Linked DNA regions of Tamandua tetradactyla. The protein of the gene in region 1 interacts with the protein of each later gene in a pairwise test. Links are inferred from orthologs where the notes say so. Each region holds a gene or a part of one and is shown in the gene's direction. Other genes may lie near its edges. The genes, in order: NEDD9, NFKBIA and RFX6.

Evidence for each region.
Region 2: the proteins of NEDD9 (region 1) and NFKBIA interact in binary tests that used the Homo sapiens proteins (3 or more experiments, as listed by UniProt). The two-hybrid records come from large-scale screens. The link is inferred for Tamandua tetradactyla from reciprocal best matches to the Homo sapiens genes NEDD9 and NFKBIA.
Region 3: the proteins of NEDD9 (region 1) and RFX6 interact in binary tests that used the Homo sapiens proteins (3 or more experiments, as listed by UniProt). The two-hybrid records come from large-scale screens. The link is inferred for Tamandua tetradactyla from reciprocal best matches to the Homo sapiens genes NEDD9 and RFX6.

What each region holds. Positions count from the first base shown.
Region 1 is NC_135351.1:14,456,122-14,463,178, reverse strand, and holds the start of NEDD9 (enhancer of filamentation 1), read left to right. Parts: upstream 1-3,955; 5' UTR 3,956-4,145; intron 4,146-4,184; exon of another isoform or gene 4,185-4,400; intron 4,401-4,864; exon of another isoform or gene 4,865-6,025; intron 6,026-7,057. UniProt on the Homo sapiens protein: Scaffolding protein which plays a central coordinating role for tyrosine-kinase-based signaling related to cell adhesion. As a focal adhesion protein, plays a role in embryonic fibroblast migration.
Region 2 is NC_135340.1:18,276,845-18,284,379, forward strand, and holds the start of NFKBIA (NF-kappa-B inhibitor alpha), read left to right. Parts: upstream 1-4,477; 5' UTR 4,478-4,578; coding exon 4,579-4,805; intron 4,806-5,464; coding exon 5,465-5,573; intron 5,574-5,918; coding exon 5,919-6,129; intron 6,130-6,414; coding exon 6,415-6,503; intron 6,504-6,627; coding exon 6,628-6,888; intron 6,889-7,241; coding exon 7,242-7,289; 3' UTR 7,290-7,535. UniProt on the Homo sapiens protein: Inhibits the activity of dimeric NF-kappa-B/REL complexes by trapping REL (RELA/p65 and NFKB1/p50) dimers in the cytoplasm by masking their nuclear localization signals.
Region 3 is NC_135331.1:177,780,257-177,787,498, forward strand, and holds the start of RFX6 (DNA-binding protein RFX6), read left to right. Parts: upstream 1-4,153; coding exon 4,154-4,376; intron 4,377-4,669; coding exon 4,670-4,826; intron 4,827-7,242. UniProt on the Homo sapiens protein: Transcription factor required to direct islet cell differentiation during endocrine pancreas development. Specifically required for the differentiation of 4 of the 5 islet cell types and for the production of insulin.

The sequences.
Region 1 (7,057 bases):
TTTGTCTGATATTAGTATTCCTATCCCTGCTTTCTTTTGGTTACAGCTTGTGTGAATATCTTTTTCCATTCCTTCACTTTCAATGTATTTGTATCCTCAGTTCTAAGGCGAGTCTCTTGTAAGCAACATATAGCTTGATTATATTTCTTAATCCATTCTACCAATCTGTATCTTTTAATTGGTAAGTTTAGTTCATTAACATTCAAAGTTATTACTGCAAAAGCACTTCTTGAATCCACCATCTTATTCTTTGGATTTTATTTATCAGATCTATTTGTTCATTTCCTTCTTTCTCTTTTTATCATTTAGGTTACCCTTACTGGTACTCTTCAATTCTGTGCTCTCCTCCAGACCTCTCTTTCTTGTCTTTTTTTTTTTTTTTCAGCTGGCAGAACTCCTTTTAGTATTTCTTGTAGAGCTGGACTCTTGTTGACATACTCTTTCAGGATTTGTTTGTGAAAATTTTAATCTTTGCCTCACTTTTGAAGAACAGTTTGGGTGGGTACAGAATTCTTGGCTGGAAGTCTTTCTCTTTCAGGATATTAAATGTATCACACCACTGCCTTCTCGCCTCCATAGTGCTAGTTGAGTAGTTCCAACTGTCTTACGTGGTTTCCCTTGTATGTAGTAGATTGTTTTTCTCTTGCTGCTTTCAAGATTTTCTACTTCTCTTCAACATTTAACAGACTGATAAGTATGTGTTTTGTAGAAGGCCTATTTGGATTTATTCTATTTGATGTTCATTGGGCTTCTCTGATTTGCATTTTTATATCTTTTATACAGGTTGGGAAGATTTTCCCCATTATATCTTCAACTACTCTTCCTAGCCCTCTACTCTTCTCTTCTCCTTCTGGGACACCAATGATTCTTATATTTGTGTGCTGCATTTTGTCTGTCATTTCCTTTAGATCCAATTCAAATTTTTCCATGATTTTTTGTCATTTTCTCTTTTGCGCATTCAAAATCAGTTGTCCTGTCTTCTAGTATACTTATTCTTTCTTTTGCTTTTTCAAATCTGCTGTTGTGTGTCTCTAAGTATATTTTTTATTTGGTCTACAGTATCTTTAACCTCTGTGACATTTGCTATTGCTCTATTTATTCTTTCAAATTCCTCTTTACAATCTTCTAGTGTCTTCTTGATTTCTTTTATGTTATTAACCATACCACTGATTTTATTTAGTAAAGTTATATGAACATCTTTGATTAGTTGTTCCAAAGTCTGTGTCTCCTCCATGTTTTAATTTGGTCATTAAACTGGGCTCTGTCTGCATCTTCATATGATTAGTGATCTTCTGTTGTCTTCATGGCATGTAAATATCTTAATAGGGTTACTTTGGATGTTGATTTCTTTTAGTAGTCTCAAGCTTTGTATTTGCAGGACAGGTGCAGAGCAAGATGTGGGGTTTGGGGAGGGCCACAACAGTGCGGTGATGGGTTGCGGTGCAGGTATATGCACGGGTACAGGACTCTACACTGGTATCTGTGAGCATGGGCTGTGGGTCACAGTGATGTGGTCATATGTTGCAGGGGTTGTGGGGGTGAGGTGCAGGTCAGGCAGTTCTCGGAGTGCAGGAGCAGGGCGCAACTTGGCGGACACAGAGGTAGGGCACAGCAGGCGGCAGATGGGGGGGTCTGAGTGGATGCATGAGGGTTGATAAGTGGACAGGATGCAGGTAGGCACGTGAAGCATGTGGGTCATGGGTGTCAGGTGTAGGATACAGGGAACAAGTCGGGGCACAAGGAGGTTGGAATGCAGATGTGTCCTTGCACAGAGAGAGAGGTCCAGGGGGGCCAGGATGTGGATGTGCAAGTGCGTAGGGGCAGGGTACAGGTCCTGGAGGTTGCGGGACATGTGTGTTTGGTGGGTGATGATGGGGGTCCCTGGTGCGGGTGTGTAGGTGCAGAGGTGGGGTGGGGTACAGGTGCTTGCTAGTGCAGGGCGGAGGCTATGTAGCACAGATGTGTTGGAGAGGACCTGCCAAATGTGGGAGAAGGGCATGTGGGGTGGGGCAAGGTTGTGCACATGTATGAGGCAAGGGGAGTGAGGTGCAGGGGTCACGTGAGTGCCCAGCATGGGAGAAACTGGCTGTGCCGGTGTGTGTATCTGGGGGGCAGGGCCCTGAAATGCTCCTGTCTGGGGAGCAGGGCACTGGTGTGCATGTGGGCAGAGCTCAGGGCCACTGGCATGAGATGATGCCTGCTTGCGGCCCTGATGCTTAGGTCAGCACTTGCCCAGAGCTGAGGAGGCATGGCCTGAGTGGTAGTACGAGCCTGCATGCATCTGCGGGGCCAGAGGCTGACGTGCGCGTGCACGAAGCTCAGGGGGCTGGGGTGGAGTTGCATGACTGGATGGGCTGAGTGTGGATGTGGCCTGGGTCTGAAGGTGAGCGCCTGCAGCCCGAATGCGCAGTTGACTGCCTGCAGGGGGGAGGTGGGGGTCCAGGGGCTGACCACAGGTACGTGGGTCTCAGGAGGGGTGGGGCAACACTGTGTGCTTGCGTGCGAGAGGTGGGGTGGGCTGGGACAGAATTCTGCGCATGCACGGGGTGGGGGTCGAGAGCAGGGGTGCTTGGGGCTTGGCCGAGGTTGGGTAACGGGGCTCAGGTGTGTGAAGTTGGGGGGAGTTGGGGGGTGTGGGACGGAGGTGTCACGAGTGAGGGTAATGCGTCCAAGGCTCGCTGCTCGGCTTATTTCCTCCTCTCCATCTCCTTGTCCACGCACTCTTGATGACTCTGGGCCTTTGTCTGGCAATGGACGTGCTAAGCTGTTTGCATTAGCTGGCTGGTCTCTGGTTCTCTGCGTCTCAATTCTTCTGCTTTTTCAACTGTGTGGTGTAGAAGACCCTCTCAGGTCATCTACACCCTGGAATCACTCTCCCTAGACACCAACAAGGGGTAGGAAATGGGGAAGGGATGGGAAAAGCAAAGGTCTGAGCTGACAATATTTTGCTAGTAATCATAATAGCAAACTCATATAGAGCTGGTTGGCGATTGAATCATGCTTCCAAAAGGGTGTGTTCAAGTTGCAATCTTGTGTTCCTGTGGCTTTGAACCCCTTTGTGAATAGGACGTTAGAAGATATTACTATTCGTTAAGGTATGGACTCAGTTGTGCCTAGGATCTTTAAAGGACCTATTTAGATGAGGCTAAACTGATTTAGAATGGGACTTAATCCATATGACTGGAGGCTTTATAAGGCAGGGGAATTCGGATGCAGTCTGTCAGAGAAAGCCACAAGAGGAGACCCAGAAGGGGGGTTGCCAGGTGATGGGAGGTAGAGATGCAAGCCAAAGACCCCCAAGGAGACCACATAGCACAAGACCATTATAGACTCCAAGTGAAAGCATGGTGTGCTGAGTTCTTGATTTTGACTTCTAGTCTCCAAACCCATGAGCCAATAAATTCATGTCCATTAAGCCAACGCATTGTGTGGTATTTGACATAGCAGCCTGACAATCTAAGACAAATTCTTACTTGTTTGTTCCAAGCACCTTTACGTGCTTGACATACATTAATTCATTTAATTCTCACAACAATCTGTTAAGTTAGGAACTTATTTGTCCAATGAAAGAATGTTCCATGTCAATTTAGAGTAGAAGCCCCAGACACATATTGAGTCTGTAAAAACCACAAATTCCCAATTCGATTGGCTTGGAAATAGTCTCATTTTTGCCTCAGTGTAGCCTAGAAAAGAGTTCATGCCACCTAGAAAATAGATTCCACAGACTTTCATCGCAACTATAATTCAAAGATCAATGATCATTCTAAAAATGGAAAATGGTGCAGATGAGAACTAGAGTTCTTACCTGCCTCTAAACTACAAAGCTTCTACAACTTGAGCGACTCAGAAGTTCTGGCAGAGATAAAAATAAAGAAGAGGCACAGAGAGGAAATAAACGGAGACAACATCACTTCACAGCAACCGGAAGGAAAAGCATACACAGGCATTCGCCACTCACATCGCCCGTTTGTGGTTGTTCAGTAGGGAAATGCTAACAGCTGTCTTTAGCAGCAAGTCTGGCTGCAGCAGCAGCAGAGAGGCATAACCGTGCAGCAGAGCTGAGCTGTCATCCGCCGGTCTGCCCAGAGAGAGGACCAAGACACCACAGAGACAAAATGGTCCAGCAACTATGGTTCAGCTCCAGGGTGAGTTCTCAGCCACTCGTTGTGGCCACAGGCTTGGGGGAGGGCAAACTTGCTCAGACTCTGCTACTTCCTGAGTTGGTGTCAGACATCTGGGGGAGTTCCTTGCTGTTAGCACCCTCTAATCAGGGCAGAGAGGGACTCAACATGCCCCAAAGGAGGAAAGGATGACTTCAGCTCAACTTCCAAGCGATTTGGAGGCAGTGGTTTTCAATGCAGCTGCAAACTTGCAGAATTTTTACTTTTTAATCATCCCAGGTAGGTGCTTCCTGGTGTTCAAAGTGTGACTCCTCCCCTCTTCCTTCTGTCCTCAGAGGTCTTACCTGCAATGAATGAGCTTTAGCTCTTTACTCTTCCCCAAGTTATTTCAGGACTTCACAGTGTGAATAGTCATTTACACTTAAGGCTGAAATAGAGTCATGACATCATTTTCAGTCTCTCACGGGGTGACTCTTAAGAGCAAGAGATGGGGATTGAGGGTTGGGCTCTGTGTGTGTGCCCAGCTGTGCTGAGACTTGATTGTCAGGGGCAGGGACAAACGACCCCATGTTCTTCCTCTTCGCACAGGGCCACTCCAACAACTTCACTTTTGTTTTTCTCTATATTAATTCATCATTCATTCATTCAATTGTCTTCCACAAAGGATATATATAATATTGTATAATTTATATGTAATAGTCTTTATATTTATAAGATAAAGAATAAACTTTGTTTTTGGAATAATTTTAGATTTACAGAAAAATTGCAAAGATAATGCAGCGGATTCCCATATACTCTTTACGCAGCTTTCCCTTATGCTAATACGCTATACAACCGTGAAAACTAAGAAACTCACGTTGATAATTACCTCAACCACAGACTTTATTAGGATTTCATCAGTTTTTCCACGAATGTCTCTCTCCCGTTTCAGGATGCCACACCATATTTATGTCTCTTTAGTCTCTATGGATCTTCACAAAGTATGTGAGACAACATCTTTCCCTTGCTGAAATTACTTTAAAATGAATAATGTGTATTACTTTAAGAGGGGAAATTCATTCTATATATAGCTTAAAGCTCTGTGGAGACTGGTGAGCAATCTTTTCCCTCTGCTAGAGGTGAGGTGAGAGTGAATGCTTCTAGTCTGTTCAACCCCTGTTCGGGAAGCCCCTCCTTTCCACTCTCCGGCCCCCCCAGCCCTGGAAGCTTCTTTCCCACCCAGAAGTGGGTGTACTCTCCTTGACAGAGCCCTGGAGACCCACTAAGTGATTTTCCTCCTTGTTTCCTTTTTCCTCCAAGCTTTGTTAATTTCAACGATATTCCTGTTCTAAGAATGGGGCAAAGTGGAACAGTGGAAACAGAGGGATATGAAATCAATTTTGAATGAGAGTGCCACCAGTTCTTGTTAATTAGTTCAGTGAGTTATTTAATAATTTTCAACAGAGTCAGCACTACGGCTGTCACTAAGTCAAAACTTATGTAAGAGGGACAAAACCTAACTTTGCTCCTGCCTGCCAAAAGCTTAGAGTCCAGGGAAGAGACAGACATTAATAAATCATTACAAAAATGTATCATTTTAAACTGTGACGTATTGCAGGGGGATGTGGTCTCCTCGGGGAGTCAGGGAGGTTTCCAGAGAACACAGAGATGAGAACTGGAAAAGGCGACTTTTCCAGTCTTGTCTTCACATCCAAACTAGATGTTAAACAAGGCAAGGTGTGGGCTTGTGCTCCAGGCACAGAAAACAGCTGAAGCAAAGCCCTGAGGTAGGAGATCGCAGAAGAGTCTGACAAAATTAAGGCCCATGAGGTGCAAGATTGAAGAATAGGGTGATCCTGGGTGAGCTCAAGATGATCCTGGGTGAGCTTGGACCACGCTATGCAAGACGGTAGAGCCAGAGTGTTCTGAAAGAGGCGGAGAAGGTGGGGCTGTTGGGCTCTGATCTGTATTCCTTTCCCTTTTTTTTTTCATGCAAGAGCTTATTTCTATTTGTAGTATTAATCAGTGGGACACATGGCTCTAAACAACCCCTTTCAATCATATTCACCTTCAGTTATAATCCCACTAATGAATTACCATCACCTCCATCCATTCCCACACATTTAAGTTTAACCTCATTAACAAGTCTGAATATATTAGGTAACTGCTTCCTCTTTCTCTAACTTCTGTCTATCTGTAGGTTTCCTATATTCTACTTTTTAAAACTCTGAGCTTACATTTTCTAGGGGGTTCATATTAGTGAAATCACACAATCTCTATCCTTTTGTGTCAGGATTATTTCACCCAGTGCTATGTCCTCAGGGTTCATCCATGTTGTCATGTGCTTCAGGACCTCATTTCACCTTGCGGCTGCATACTATTCCATCATATGAATATATCACATTTTGTTTACCCACTTGTCTGTTGATGTGCGCTTGGGTTGTTTCCATCTTTTGGCAATTGTGAATGCTGCTGCTATGAATATCGGTGTACAAGTGTTGGTTTATGACATTGTTTTCAGCTCTTCTGGGTATATATTGAGTATTGGTATTAACAGGTCATAGGGCAACTCAATATTTGGTTTTTTGAGGAACTGCCAAACTGTCCTCCACAGTGACTGCACCATTATACATTCCCACCAGCAGTGCGTAAATGTCCCAATTTCTCCACATGATCGGCATTCTTAAGGGATGAATGGGAGCGACCAATTCTGAAGCAGGGAAGCCAGGTATAAGCTTGATGTAGTCATCCAAACAAGAGTGTCTAACGAGAAAATAGACCGGGGTGGTGGCAGTGGGAACAGAAGTGGACAAACTAAGTCATTTAGAAAGGAAAATCAACAGGGCTTGGTGGTGGAATGGAAAGGAGAGTGGGGGCCATGGGTGGGGAGAAGGGGGAGTGTCAAAGATGATTCCTCACTCTTCTGGTTTGGGTGTCCAAATGGGTGGACATGCTGA
Region 2 (7,535 bases), on another chromosome or scaffold:
TTACTAAAACATTCTTATATCCCAAAGCAGAAACCCTATACACATTTTAAATTAACTCCCCATTTCCCCTGCTCCCTGTCCCTGGCACTCTGTACTCTACGAGTATGTATATTCTCCGATATTTTCTTTGTGTTACCAAGGAGCTTAAATTTAACATCTTAAATCTGGAACAATCTCATTTGCTTTGATACCGACCTAACTTCAATATATACACAAATTATATTTCTATAGCTCTCTGTCTCTCCACATTTTGTAGTTCCTGTCACAAATGAAATGTTTTTACATTATGTCTTAAACCACTGATTTCTCTTTATGTTTTATGAATTTGCCTTTTAAATTCTGTAGAAAGCAAAAAGTGGACTTACAAACCAAAAATACGATAGTACTGGCATTTATATGTACTCATGTCATTACCCTCATTGGAGATCTTAATCTCTTCATATGGCTTTGATCAATTGCCTATTGTCCTGTCTTTTTAAGCTGCAGAACTCTCTTTAGCATCTCTTGTGGTGCTGGTCTTGTGGTGACGAACTCCTCCAGCTGTTGTTTATCTGGAAATGTCTTAACTGCTCCCTTTTGAAAGACAGTTTTGCTGGGTATAGAATTCTTCACTGGCAATTATTTGCTCTCAGTATTTTAACTAAGTCATCCCAATGCCTTCTTGCTGCCAAGGTTTCTGATGAGAAATCCGCACGTAATCTCATTGAGGTTCCCTTATATGTGACAAATAGCTTTTCTCTTGAGGCTTTCAGAATCCACTATCTTTGGCATTTAACAGTTTGATTATAATATAATGCAGTGTGGGTCTATTGGGGTTTATCCTATCTGGAGTTTGTTGAGTGTCTTGGATAGTATGTTCATGTCTTTCATTAAATTTGGGAAGTTCTCAGCCATTATTTCTTTGAATATTCTCTCTGCCCCTTTTTCTCCGTCTTCTTCTGGAACTTCCACAATGAATATATTGGTAGACTTAAAGGTGTTCCACAGGTTCCTTAGGCTTTGTTCATTTTTCTTTCTTCTTTCTGCTCCTCAGATAGAATGATTTCAATTGTCTTCAAGTTCATGGATTCTTTCTTCTACCACTCCCAATCTGCTGTTGAACCCCTCCAGGAAATTATAAATTTCTGTTATTGGGGTCTTCAGCTCTATTTTATTCCTTTTCACAATTTCTATCTCTCTATTGATAATCTCTTTGTGCTCATCTGTCATTTTTCTGATTTTTTAAGTTCTTTGTTCATGTTTTCCTTCAGCTCTTTGAGCATTTTTAGGACATTTTTTAAAAGACTTTGTCTAGTATGTCACAGGTCTGGTCATCCTCATTGATGATTTCTAATACCTTAATTTTCTCCTTTGCCTAGGACATCACTTCCTATTCCTTTGTATGTTTTATAATCTTTGGTTGGAACCTGGGCATTTAATGCTTTAAGGTGTTATCACTGGAATTTAGACTCTGAGGCATCTATTTCCTTAAGCTTGGATCCAGCTAGCATAATGATAGAGCTTTCTTTAAATGCCAGGGCTAAGGGAAAAAATAAAAGACGGGGAAAAAAAAGAAAACACTTTTCCTAGTCTTTACAGATTGACCTCTATGAGTGCTTTTTCTTCAATGCTTATCTATACAAAGAATTTAGTGAATAGCTCCAGGCCAAAGCATGCAACCTCCTTCCTTTCTACCCACGGTCATGTGGCCCTAGGAATTTCCCTGTTTACACAGATACAATGTCCCCTCTTCCCTAGGAAAGAGCCTCCTCAGAGTCCCAGGCACAGCTCTGTATGTCCTAAAGCCAGCAAACCTTTGCCCCAAGCCTCCAACCAGCAATCCTTTGCCCCAGGTCCATGGCTTTATTGGCTGCCCATAGTATGTTGTAGGAGAGCTCCACATGCTGCTTCTTCGCTCAGGGCAAGTTCTGGGACACCACCAAACTGTGCCAGACCTACAGGTTCTGAGTATGTGCACAAGCGTTAACTCTGCTCCCTCTGAAACTGGGACTAAGCATCCACGCCCTGGGAGGATGGGCTGGCTCAGAGCCAAGTTGGTGAGGGCTGGGAAGGTGGCCAGCCAGGATACCAAGAGATTCTAGGCTCTTAAATTGCCTTTTTCTTGATTCAGTGCTCATCCTGTTTCTACAGTCCTTTAACTATTTTCCACTAGATCTTGCTGGTTGTTCAAAGCTTCTGTGGGGACACCTATAATTCTCTTTTTACTTTCTAAATATGAGACCTATAATTCATATTTTTAACTCTTTAGCTAAAAATCCTCTTCTAAGATATACTTTGTAAATAGGGCATTTAGTGTTTGCCATTTCTATAGCTTTTTTTTTTTTTAAAGAAGTTACTGTTCCCAGCTAGGGGAACACCTACCCTCTGTTTTACCTAACAGTTGGAGCAGAAAATACTCGAGTAACTTCCAAATTATAGTATATTCAGTCTCATTTTCACAATGTGTCTTCAAAATTGTTAATACTATGACTGCTTTGCTAAATGGTTAATATATTGGGATAGAAATTAGGTAAACTACCATGGGATGTCTGGGTAAATTTCTCTTTATTTCAGTTTCTTTTTAGGATTAACAATGTGATACATAAAGTGTTGGAGTCCTTACAAAAATTTATACCACAATATGCCAAGAGCTAGGGTCTCCCTTACAAATCAGGGTTAGAGATGCATTTGTGGCGACATAATATAGTTTATTAAGCTGGAAAAAACCCTAAATAGCATTAAACCCAATCTTATTATTTTAAAAGCATGTATGCTACTGAATAGTTAACTATCTACCAAAGTAACATACAGTTAATTAGAGGCAGAGCCTGGGGTTGAGATGCCCTATTTTTAGTCTCTATTCCACTTTGCCTCAAGAATTGTATATTTGCATATCAAATGCCTGCAGAGAGGATGTAGTCTATCCTGACAGTTTTCATTTTAATATATTATCATTGCCACTCTGAAGGCTTTATTTCTTGATTTTACTTTTTGTCCCCTCAGATTTCCTCTCTCAACCCCATTGACCCAGATTCCCCACATTGGCATGTTGGGGGTGGGGGTGAGATGTGGACAGGGGGAAAGTTTCACAGTAATGGCCAGTCAAGGCAAAGATGATTGCAGTAATCACCAGAAAGCTCTGCAGAACTGTAGAACCCACCCCACCCCCCCCCCACCCCCCCGGGGCTAATTCTCAAGACCTCTGACCTAAACTGTTTTCTTTTGCCTGGGCAATTCTATAAGCACATGAATTCAATTTATGGCTTGCTGACTTGGAGGTGGGGATAGGGACAGATAGAGTAAGTTTCTATATTTGCAGTTGAAACCAGAGGATGGTGAGCCCAAATCCCTTTCCCTTCTGTGTGGCTACCCACACTGTATGGGTAGGTCCAGCTGTGTCACCCCCCAGGTCAAGAGTAGCAAGCAAGGGCACCAGCGGGGTAGTGTTGGGGCTGCCTTGAGCCCCATACACGCTAGCTAGCAGCTACTTTTGTGGTGGTCCTTATGGTCCAACCTTGGGTAAGACGCTGCTAAACTCATGCTTCAGCATCCTTCTTCAAATGCTCCAGGGAAATTGCCCATCAGGCACCCAGTAGAAGGTTCTGGGCCTATTCCCTGCAGTTGCACAATGCAAATGAAAGAAAGAGACCTCACTGGTTATTTCTTATAGCAAATCTATAACTCCTCCTGCACAGATTCACAACTTGCCTTACTTCAAATGAATTATGATTATATATTGCACTTTCCAGAAAGAGGGGCAGGAGTGCTTGCCCCTTCCCCAGTCAACAGGATTAACAGTCCCAAGGAAATGATTTGAGGGCTTTCCAAGTATTTAGGTTTAAGGCCAAAGCTTTCACAATTTTTACCTGGGAAGGCAGGAAAAGCTAAATGCCTCTGCTCTGCAAAGAGGCACAGCGTTCCTGGTATTGGCAGGAACACAGTACGGCCCGCGACCTAACCACCTGACCGCCCTTCCCCGCAGACTGAATTTTGGGGAAGCGAATCCCTACACCCAGCCATCATTTCCACTCTTGGGTTTTCAAAAGAGCAAAAAACGGAAAGGCCCTGCAGGTTGGCAAACACCGGTGTGGATCCGCCCAACGGGTCTGCGTCCTGGGGATCGCAGCGCAGACGACCCTAAGTCGAATAAATCAAGGGAAACCCCAGGGAAAGAAGGATTTTTGCAGAGGACAGAATTACTGAGTGCAGACTGCAGGGAAGTACCTGGGGGGAGGGGCCCTTGTCAGAAGGACTTTCCAGCCACCCAGCGCTCATCAAAAAGTTCCCTGTATATGACCCCAGTGGCTCATCGCAGGGAGTTTCTCTGTTGAACCCCAGCACAGGGTTTAGGCTTCTTTTTTTCCCCCCCAGCATAGAATGGGGCCAGTTCTCATTTCTGGTCTGACTGGCTTGGAAATTCCCCGCGCCTGACCCCGCCCCGGAGAAATCCCCTGCCAGCGCTTATAGGGCGCCGGGGCGGCGCTGCCGAGCCACAACAGTGCTAGTCCGCAGCCCCAGCCGCCAGCGACACTGCGAGGAGGCGCGCAGCCCGTGGCCGAGCGCACCTGGGGAGCCGCGCCTGGAGACGGAACCCGCGCCATGTTCCAGCCCGCCGAGCACGCCCAGGCGTGGGCCATGGAGGGCCCCCGGGACGGGCTGAAGAAGGAGCGGCTGCTGGACGACCGCCACGACAGCGGCCTGGACTCCATGAAGGACGAGGAGTACGAGCAGATGGTGAAGGAGCTGCGCGAGATCCGCCTCGAGCCTCAGGAGGCGCCGCGCGGGGCCGAGCCTTGGAAGCAGCAGCTCACGGAGGACGGAGACTCGTAAGTGTGGCCGAGCCGGGGTGGGGAGGGTGGGTGCGCGCCGGGCCTGCAGCGGGAGCCGCCGGGGCCGCGGCGCAGCAGGGCAGGGGCGCGGCAGCGACCCCGGGGCTCGGGCACCGACCGCGAAAACGTTCGGAGCTGCACGTCTGCGCGGCGGGGGGAGGGCTGGGCTTGGGGCTCGCGGGCCCGGCTGCAGCTCGGCGACGCGCTCCGGCGTTTCCTCACACGCCCCCCCTCCTCTGCCTCCTCCCCTTCCCCTCCCCCCTCCTCCTGGAGGCTCGGGCCTCGGGGCCGGGGGCGGGGCGGCGGCGGGGACGCGAAGTCCTGGGTTGCATAAGGGGTGGGGGGGCTGGGTGGGCAGGACTTTCTGCCCCGCTGGCAGGCGCCTCGCAGCCCCGAGGGGAAGTACAGGGCGTTCCGGGCCGGCGCGAGGGCGGGGCGGTCTGGCCGGCGCCCGCCGAGGAGGAGGAAGGGGGGGCCCGGAAAGTCCCTGGGCGCCTGCCAGGAACACTCAGCTCATAATAACCTCGCGGAAAACACCGCGGCCTCGGCCTCCAGAAACCCCGGCCTTGCGCAATCCCCCGCAGCCCGCACCTCCCTGGGCCCCACACGGTGCACTCATCACCCCCTGGTTTTTTTTCCCCCTCTCTTCCCCTCAGGTTCCTGCACTTGGCCATCATTCATGAAGAGAAGGCCCTGACGGTGGAAGTGATCCGCCAAGTGAAGGGGGACCTGGCGTTCCTCAACTTCCAGAACAACCTGCAGCAGGTGCGCTGCTCGCCTAGCCCGGGGCCCTTTCTGACCCTGTGATGGAGCTGGATTGACAAATTGGCCCTGACACAATTGCCACCAAATCCTTTCTAAACCAACAGTCACTGATCTTTAAAGGCCCCGGCCTTTTACATTTTAATCAGCAAATATCCAACAGAGAAAAGCATATCCCATGGACTGGGTGATTTAGAGTCCACCTGGGGCCTCTGGTGTTTTCCTCGCCCCTTGGCCTGTCTGGGAGGAGCAGCACCCACCACTGGGAGGGGCCTGGGGTTTCAGGAGACCCTGACTGCAGGTTTGGCCCATGGTTTATTCTGTTTCTATTCCTTTTTATTTTTGTAGACTCCACTCCATTTGGCTGTGATCACTAACCAGCCAGAAATTGCTGAGGCTCTTTTGCAAGCTGGCTGTGATCCTGAGCTTCGAGACTTTCGAGGAAATACCCCCCTGCACCTTGCCTGTGAGCAGGGCTGCCTGGCCAGCGTGGGAGTCCTGACGCAGAGCTGCCAGGCCCAGCACCTCCACTCCATCCTGCAGGCCACCAACTACAATGGTACGCGAGTCGGCCTGCCCCGCCAGGGGACGGGTGGCATGGAGGAGGGGGGAGGTGGGCCAACAGTCTGAGTCCTGGTGAGACCCTAAACTCTCAACATGAGAAAGTTTGAGAGAATAGACCCACTATTTGATGCCTTTATAATGTTAATTCAGACCCCAAATTCGAGATCCTTCAAATTTAGAAGACATGGCTGATTGTCCCTTAAAAGAATAAGTGGAAGGTTCTGTTTGAGGTGTGAGGCTTGAAACAAATGGTTAAACTTTTTTCCTTTTGTTCTTCTAGGTCACACGTGTCTACACTTAGCCTCTATCCATGGCTACCTGGGCATCGTGGAGCTCTTGGTGTCTTTGGGTGCTGATGTCAATGCTCAGGTGAGTGCTTCCTGCTCCCAGATGGAGTGAGTCCGGCTTTAGAGCCCCTTTCCTGAATAAGACTTCTTGCAAGCAGAAATCCCAAATTCAGCTGTAAGCATCTCTTAATTCTCTTTGGTCTCAGGAGCCCTGTAATGGCCGGACTGCCCTCCACCTTGCAGTGGACCTGCAGAATCCTGACTTGGTGTCCCTCTTGTTGAAGTGTGGGGCTGACGTCAACAGAGTTACCTACCAGGGTTACTCCCCCTACCAGCTCACCTGGGGCCGTCCAAGCACCCGGATACAGCAGCAGCTGGGCCAGCTGACCCTGGAGAACCTTCAGCTGCTGCCAGAGAGTGAAGATGAGGAGAGCTATGACACGGAGTCAGAGTTCACAGAGGACGAGGTGAGTCTCCATTGAACTTCTTCAACACCCACAAAAAAGATGAGGGGCCCGTCACCTTCCCATGCCCCGAGAGCTACTCTTAATCACAGAGTCTCAACAATGAAGTTCTCAAACTTGAGTGCAATAACACTATCCCCGAAGCGTGTCTTTTCTGTTTGTAGCTTAACCTTTTTAGAGGAGAGGAACATTAAAGAAAAACTCCCTCAGCCTGCAAAGTTCATTTATGTTTTGGGTTGTTGAGAATGGAGTCCAAGAAGACTTAAATTATTTCCCAATAGGAATCCTCACTGTCTTCCCAACGTCTTGTTAAAGTTCTGGAAGTTTAATGTGCTTTTCTTCCCTCTCATTTTTAGCTGCCCTATGATGACTGTGTGCTTGGAGGCCAGCGGCTGACATTATAAATGGAACATGTATAAAAGAACCTGGACTTGTATATTTGTACAAAAGGAGAGCTTTATTTTTCTAAAAAAAAGGAAAAAAGAAAAAAATTCAAAGGGTGTACATAAAACCACACTGCCCACTGCTTGGCCCAAAATATTTTACTGTGGTGGATCAGCCTTTATTTTTGTGAATTCTATGAGTGAGACAAGAAAAATCCTTGGACTCCAAAGAAAGCCTATTAAGCTTCACCTTTGTAGAGTTTTTTG
Region 3 (7,242 bases), on another chromosome or scaffold:
CGATCCTTATTATTTCATTCTGTTTGCACTAGGTTTGTTTGGTCTTCTTTTTATAGTTTCTTTTCTTTTTTTAGGTGCACAGTTGAGGAATCGAACCTGGGTCTCCCACATGGAAGTCGAGTATTCTACCACTGAACCACCCGTGTACCCCTTTTTATGGTTTCTTAAGGTGGAAGTTTAAGTTATTGATTGAGTTCTTTTTTTTTAATGTATGCATTTGCAACTATAAATTTCCTTCTGAGCACTGCTTTCATTGCATCCCATAAAGTTTGGTATATTGTATTTTCACTTTCATTCATCTCAAAGTAGTTTCTCATTTCTCTTGTGATTTCTTCTTTGACCCATTGGTAGTCTAATATTGTACTCTTCTATTTCAACATATTTGTTAGTTTTCCAAATTTCCTTCTGATATTGAAATCTAATTTCATTCCATTGTGATCGTAGAACACACTTTGTATGAAATTAATCTTTTAATGTTTATTGAGGCCTATTTTTTTGGCTTAATATATGATATATCCTGAAAAATGTTCCATATATTCTTGAAAAGAATATATATTCTGCTTTTGTTATTTGGAGTGTTCGTTGGTGTCCATTAAATAACTTATAAATCTTCTATTTCCTTTTTATCTCTATTCAGTTGTTCTATCCATTATTGAAAGTGGGGTGTTGAAGTTTCCAACTATTATTGTTGAACTGTCTAATTCTCCCTTCCATTCTGTCAGTATTTGCTTTGTGTATTTTGGAGTTCTGTTGTTAGCTATATAACCCAAATTTACTTTTATTTGAAAGTAGCAACAACATGAAAATTATTAAAATAAGGCAGACTATGAAGTTCTTTCTATAATAGCAAAGTTCATTTGGTAGATAAAAATAAAATTAGGGGAAGCATGAACTTTCATGGTAGAAAATTTCATAGTATATGATTCCTCCAGACCATACCAATTCCAGGCATAGTGCAGACAAGGAGAAAGATGTTTCTCAGCAATGAAAGAGTGAAATTTTATTTCTTTGTTTTTGAGAACTAAAAGGGATCTAAAGTTTTGGAGTAAAAATATTGGATATATTTTATTAATGGCTTTCTCTGTCCCAGGTACTATACTAAGTTCTTCTTTGTGATGTTTCATTTAATCCTCATATCATGAATAAGGTGGTGTCTAATATCAACAGAACCTGATCAAGCATTCATGTGTAAGGGTGATGCTTCACGGAAGTGTTCCCAGGGAAATGGGTGAGGGACTAGGCATTGCAGGAACGGAGGGTGAAGAAGCCAAGCAAGGATGGGATTTCAGGAATGGTCCAGTGGAGGATGGATTCAGCCTGAACCCACAGAAGAACTCTAGATTGTAAATGATGCCCCAGATTTTCATTGTGAAGACAAAGAGCCTGGCTTTCAATTCCTCCGAATCATCAGTCATTGACTAAGGGTTGCTCAAGGAATATAAACTCCAAGGCCCTTGGACTGTTTCTGCTTATGTGCAAAGGCAGTCTGGTAGCCAAGGGAAGCTCCTCTGAAGGACCTGAGGTGCTCTTAGATGGTGACAGAGGGGTGCTCAGAAGATGAGAGGGATCAAGAGGTATGTCTGGACTGAGCACCCATGAAATCTACTACAGATAGGTACTCTTGTTTCCATTTTAGAGAGAAGGAAAGTTAGGCCAGAAGGCTAAATGTGCAATCACATAAAGAATGAGTGCAAATGTATCTGACTCCAAAGTCCTATTCCTTTCTCCTTATTATGATACTTCTAGTCATGAAGATATTGTCATTTGGGAACTTCCAAGAATTGTCTTTCAGAAATCATTATTCTGTTTTCTTAAAATAGAAACAATTTTGTCAGGGATACTTTACTTAGGATCTGTCAAATCATATGTGAAAATTTGCCTGCTTGAACGTGAGTTTTTCATGTGCCTTTCCAACTCGCCCCCCCACCCCCGGCCCAGGGAAAGAGTCGATGGCTAACACGAATTTCTCAAAGGAAATACAAAACACAAAAGGTTAAGAGCCACAATTTTCAAAGGCCAGTCTCCATATTTACCTACTTTCCTATGTTATGACTTTACTATTCACTATTACTTCTCTAAAATATCGGTTCTCATGAGTTTAAATTTATTAATAATAGATGGAAATTTGGGGTTATGACTTTTTTCCCTCTTCGTTTTTTGCTGCATGTCATAAATTTGTGAAAATTAGCTAAAGCTCTTTTAAATCACTCTTTAAACATTTGGTAAAATTCACAGTAGATTAATCTTATCTGAGGCTTTTATTTTATTTTGTAGTTGAAATCTTTTTATAATTATAAGCCCATTTACATTTTCTATTTCTGAATAGAAGCACAAAGAACTTTACATGCTATTTTGTTAGGCAGATGACTTACTTAAATTAAGGCAAAAAGTTCAGTTGGGGACATAAAGGAACTTGGTTTAAATTTCCATTGACCAATGCAGTTGGATAATTGCCAGATATTCACTTAGTGTCTGTATGGCTTACACATACACACACACAAACACACACAAATACAAACACACAACAACCTGGGTATCAAGTGAACAACATTAAAAAAAAATCCTAGTAATTTGCCTGAACAGAATTTTCCTGCTGTTTATGCCATATAACTGATCATGCAGTTAATCACCAGGCCTGGCTTTACAGAATGAATCTAAAGCTATCTTTTTAGTATTAAATAGCTAACCCCATGTCCTGAGAGAGCTCTCTGGACAGCCTCAGGTATCTGGATGTGTGAATGGGTGGGTGGACCCTGCCAGACCTAACTGCTAGAGTTACCAGGTAAAGGAAAAACTTTTGACAGAGAAATAATGCCTTTCCCAACAAGCGGTGCGGAAAAAAAAAATTGGAGAGGTTCAGATATACCCATAATTTTGGTTGCTTAGGTAACCTTAGCAATGTATTAGAATGTATTTTTAGAATACAGAATGTATCATTCTTCCCCATAATTTACCTTTCAGCCACCCACCACCTTGGATCAGATCCTCTTTTGTTTCTAGTTTAAATTTCATTGTAATCTAGTTTGATACTGAATTTGCATTCAGCGTCTTTCTAATGCTGCAAGAGAGAGGATGAATGACAGGATGAAGTTGTGGTGAGGCAATGTGAACCAAAGCTGGATCCTGGCTTTTCCTGGAGAATGCCCGGCATAGAGTAAGCGCAGGGCTGATTTGTTGAAGAAACAACGAATGGAAGGAAGGAAAGATTGTGTGGCAGTCAGGCAACCCCGGCCCAACTCTACGCACTGCTCCTTCTTAGAGAGAGCATAAGTGATGTTCATGACTCTTGACATTAATTATTTCAATTTCATTTCAACAAATGTTCGTTGCATAATCCCTAGATGGATGAGGCATTTCCAGGGACCCGTTTAAATAACAAAATATTGTAAATGGGGGTAAAGGCATCTTTTCCAACAAGCCCAGGGCCAGAACCCCGAGAGAGGCGAGACTCCGGAGTTTGAGCCCTTGTGTGCCCTGGAAGTGCTCTCCGCGCCCGCGAGCGCTGCTCTGCCGCCCGCACTACGGCTCTAATGTATCCTCGAGCCACTGAAAAGAGCCCTCATCTGTCCCTAGGTTATTCCGAGAATAAGTAAATCCCTGCCACTCAGCGTACAGAGGGAGCGGAACTCTGCACCCTGTTCTGTGCGCACACAGCCACCGCTACCCGTTCGGGAGCATCATTTGCATTTCTCGAGAGTAGCGATGGGGCGAGTTTCAGCTGCGCTTCCCCGGGCAAGAAGAGTAGAACTTTTAGGATAATCTGGCCTTGGGTATGAAAAGTGTCCTCCGGCCGAGCAAGAAAAGAGAGGAGGAAGGAGAGGGTAAGGGTGTGGGGGAAAAGGACTGCATTGCTTGGGCGCGACTGGGGCGCAGGTGAGGAAGTGAGTTCTGAGTTGAGCCGCTGTCGAGACGGCACAGGGGTGGAGAGTGGCAGGCGGTCGCACTCACCCGCTCTGGCTTCAGGGCCATCCGAGCCGTAGCCTTGCCCTGCGATCCTCCTCCGCGACGCACCTGGGCGCAGGAGCCTCCGGCCTCCTCCCCCACCCCAGTGGCCCCAGGTCCCCACCCCCGCCGCGCCCCGCCCCGGGCTCTGGCTCGGGGCTCCGCGGGGAACCGGCTGGCGGCGGCGCAGAGGTCTCCGGTGGCCGGAAGGATGGCCAAGGTCCCGGAGCTGGAAGACGCCTTTCTGCAAGCGCAACCTTCGCCCGGAGTTCCCCGGGAGATGCCGGAGGAGTGTTGTGTGCAGTTACTGGGTAAGGGCTTGCTCGCCTACCCCGAGGAAAGGGTGTACCTGGAGGCTGAAGCGCAGCCGGGGGGCGCGCTGGGCAGCGGGGAGAAGGAGGAAGATCCGGAGCTGCTGGTAGGAGTTAAATCAGGTGAGTGCTTTCACACACACACACCCCCTCCCCGGGGAAGTGATTGGGACGCGAGAGTATTCTAAGCAGGGCATCCAATAATAAACTTATACACAGTGCAGACATACATATAAGCAGAATGTTCTGTCCAGATCTTTATATTTCCCCAGGAAAATGTCAACTAGAGATTGTTACCTATTGGGGATTTTGCATAGCTGCGCCCCTGCCCATGACTGACGCAAAATTATGTGTAAAGGGTACTTGATTGATTTCGTACTCTGCTTTTCTCCATCATCTTTTCGACTGACAATCAGAAATGCATTTAAGCAATGGTAACTTTTCTTCTGAAGAAGAGGATGCAGATAGTCACGACAGCAAAACCAAAGTAGCCGATCAACACCTCTCTCAGAAGAAAACCATCACGCAGATTATGAAGGATAAAAAGAAACAGACTCAGCTGACACTGCAGTGGTAAGATTGTCCCGCGGGGGCACATCTGTGCACCTGTTGCTCTTTAAAAGCCAGTGTCTGCACCTTTGCTTTTCCTAATCTGCTTCTCCCTCGAAGCTTTTGGGGAAGTTAAAAACTCCAGTGAAAAATTCATTCAAAACTTTTTTCTCCTACTAACTTGTATATGTTTGTTTGTATAAAGTCATTCTGGTAACTGATCGAAAATTATCTGTAATAAATACGAACCACATTACTTTATGGTTTTTCTTCATCATGAGAACGTTCATTCAGTTGGTCCTTTCGTTTGTTATTTGGCAGTTATCTCATTCACAAAGCATAATTTGAAAAAAAAATAAAGGGAGAGAGGACCTTTATTTAACTTTATTCATGAGGGCAAATTAAAAATAGTGTATTGATCATAAGATGCATTGTATCTAAACTAGACAGAAAAATCAGCTTAGATATCACTATTAACTAAATAAATGTTGAACTATTTTATAGCACCTGTCACATATGAGCTGTTATAAAGAAATATCATGCATTGGATTTTTAGCAAATCTTTTAAAAACAAGAGATTATCAGTATGCTCTTTCTCTATGTACAGGATATTTTGTAATATTGATCTAAAAGGGAAAAAAGACCTAAAGTAACAACATAATGTAAGGATTTCCCTCATTATGTGAAGAAATAGAGTATACATTTCCTCCCAAATAAATCAACAAATCAATAAAAAGTGTTATTTACTCACTGATGAGTTAAATATTCTGTTTGTATGTCAAATCTGATACGAACTTTAGAAAAAGATAATAGAAAAAAATTGACAAAAACTAGTAAACTTTATTTTTATCTATTTAAACATTGAATTAAAATTTACATGCACTGATTTTTTGTGATTATGTACTTGAACTCTTTGAAATATTTTAAGTATTCCTCTAAAGCTATGGCTTAAATATTGTAGTTGATGTGTTTACTCGCTAAGAATACACTAGAGCTGTAAATAATTGACCCAATCATCTCGAATATTTAGGACAAAACTATTTTTGTTAGGATAACTGGGGCAAAATGTTTTGATTTCAGGTATATTATGGAGGTGTTTTGAATAATCACTCCTTTTTTTATTTCAAATTGAGTAAATGGAAACAATCTTGGGTTTTTATTTTATAAATATTCATACATTAAGTTTAAAGAAAATTATGACAAACTCAAATTTAAAATTTTACTCATGTTTATGATTACTTAGTATTTTTGAAGATAGGCAATGCTTAGAACAATAAGATGTTTTATTAGAAATATATATTTTTTGAAGATGAAAACAATGCCTAGAAAAATATTAATATAGGTGAAAAGTAGGGATTATGTGTATATTATAAAAATGTCATTTTTAAATAACTGAATATTTCCCAAAGTGATTTTCATACTTTTTGAAACTATGAAATGCTGTAATTTTTGCTGTAATTTTCTATACCCTCTCCAAAAAAGTGAGTGTTATACTTGCATCCTTTGAAATTATAAATTGTTTTGGGGATGTTAACAATTAGAACTGCAAACCAGAATGAAAAAATATGGCTGATTAACTCATTTTCACTGTCAAGAAGATGTTTGGTTTTATAAATGCAAATTGATTTTATACTTTAAATCCTTAGGTCTTACTGATTTTTTCCCCAAAGAAGACGAGTACCTGATGTTTTACCTGCCCAGGGAATACTTCCTTTAGCGTTTATCTTATGCACATTGAGAATATATTAAATCAGGAATCTTAAAGGGTGCCGTCATTTTAAATCTGATCGTGTACTCCGTATTATATTGTTTCCATATTATAATTATCATGATTTTACAACACATAAAATGGGCATAAGTAAGTTTTAGCCAGATTCACCTATTGAATTTTTAGAAGATCGAAATAAAATCTAAAGGTTCTGATTTCTAGATTGTTGTTCAGATAATTGTAACACATACACACATATATTTAATGAATTGATTTAAACTGCATTTGCAGAAATCCAGATTAAATATAATTATTTTTCAAATTTAAAATTCATATAATTATATTCATAATGTAAAGTTGAAATTATATGTCCTATTTGAAGGCAACTATAGAGAATTACCTTCTTTTAAGTGTACAGGTTGCCTTAAGTATTATAATAATGATCACAGCAGAAAAGGTAGTGTGATAGAAATAGATCAGTATCATTTCAGACTTGAGTGAAATTATTTTTGTGTATTTTGCAAATAATTACATCAAATTATTTGGGGTTCAGTACTTTTTAGGGAAGAAAAGTAAGGAATGTAGGCTTTTACCAACCTTGGTGTTGAGAATGTTGAGTTCTTTTAAAAAAAAATCATGGGCGGGCCGCGGTGGCTCAGCGGGCAAAGTGCTTGCCTGCTATGCCGGAGGACCTCGGTTCGATCCCCGGCCCCAGCCCATGTAACAAAAACG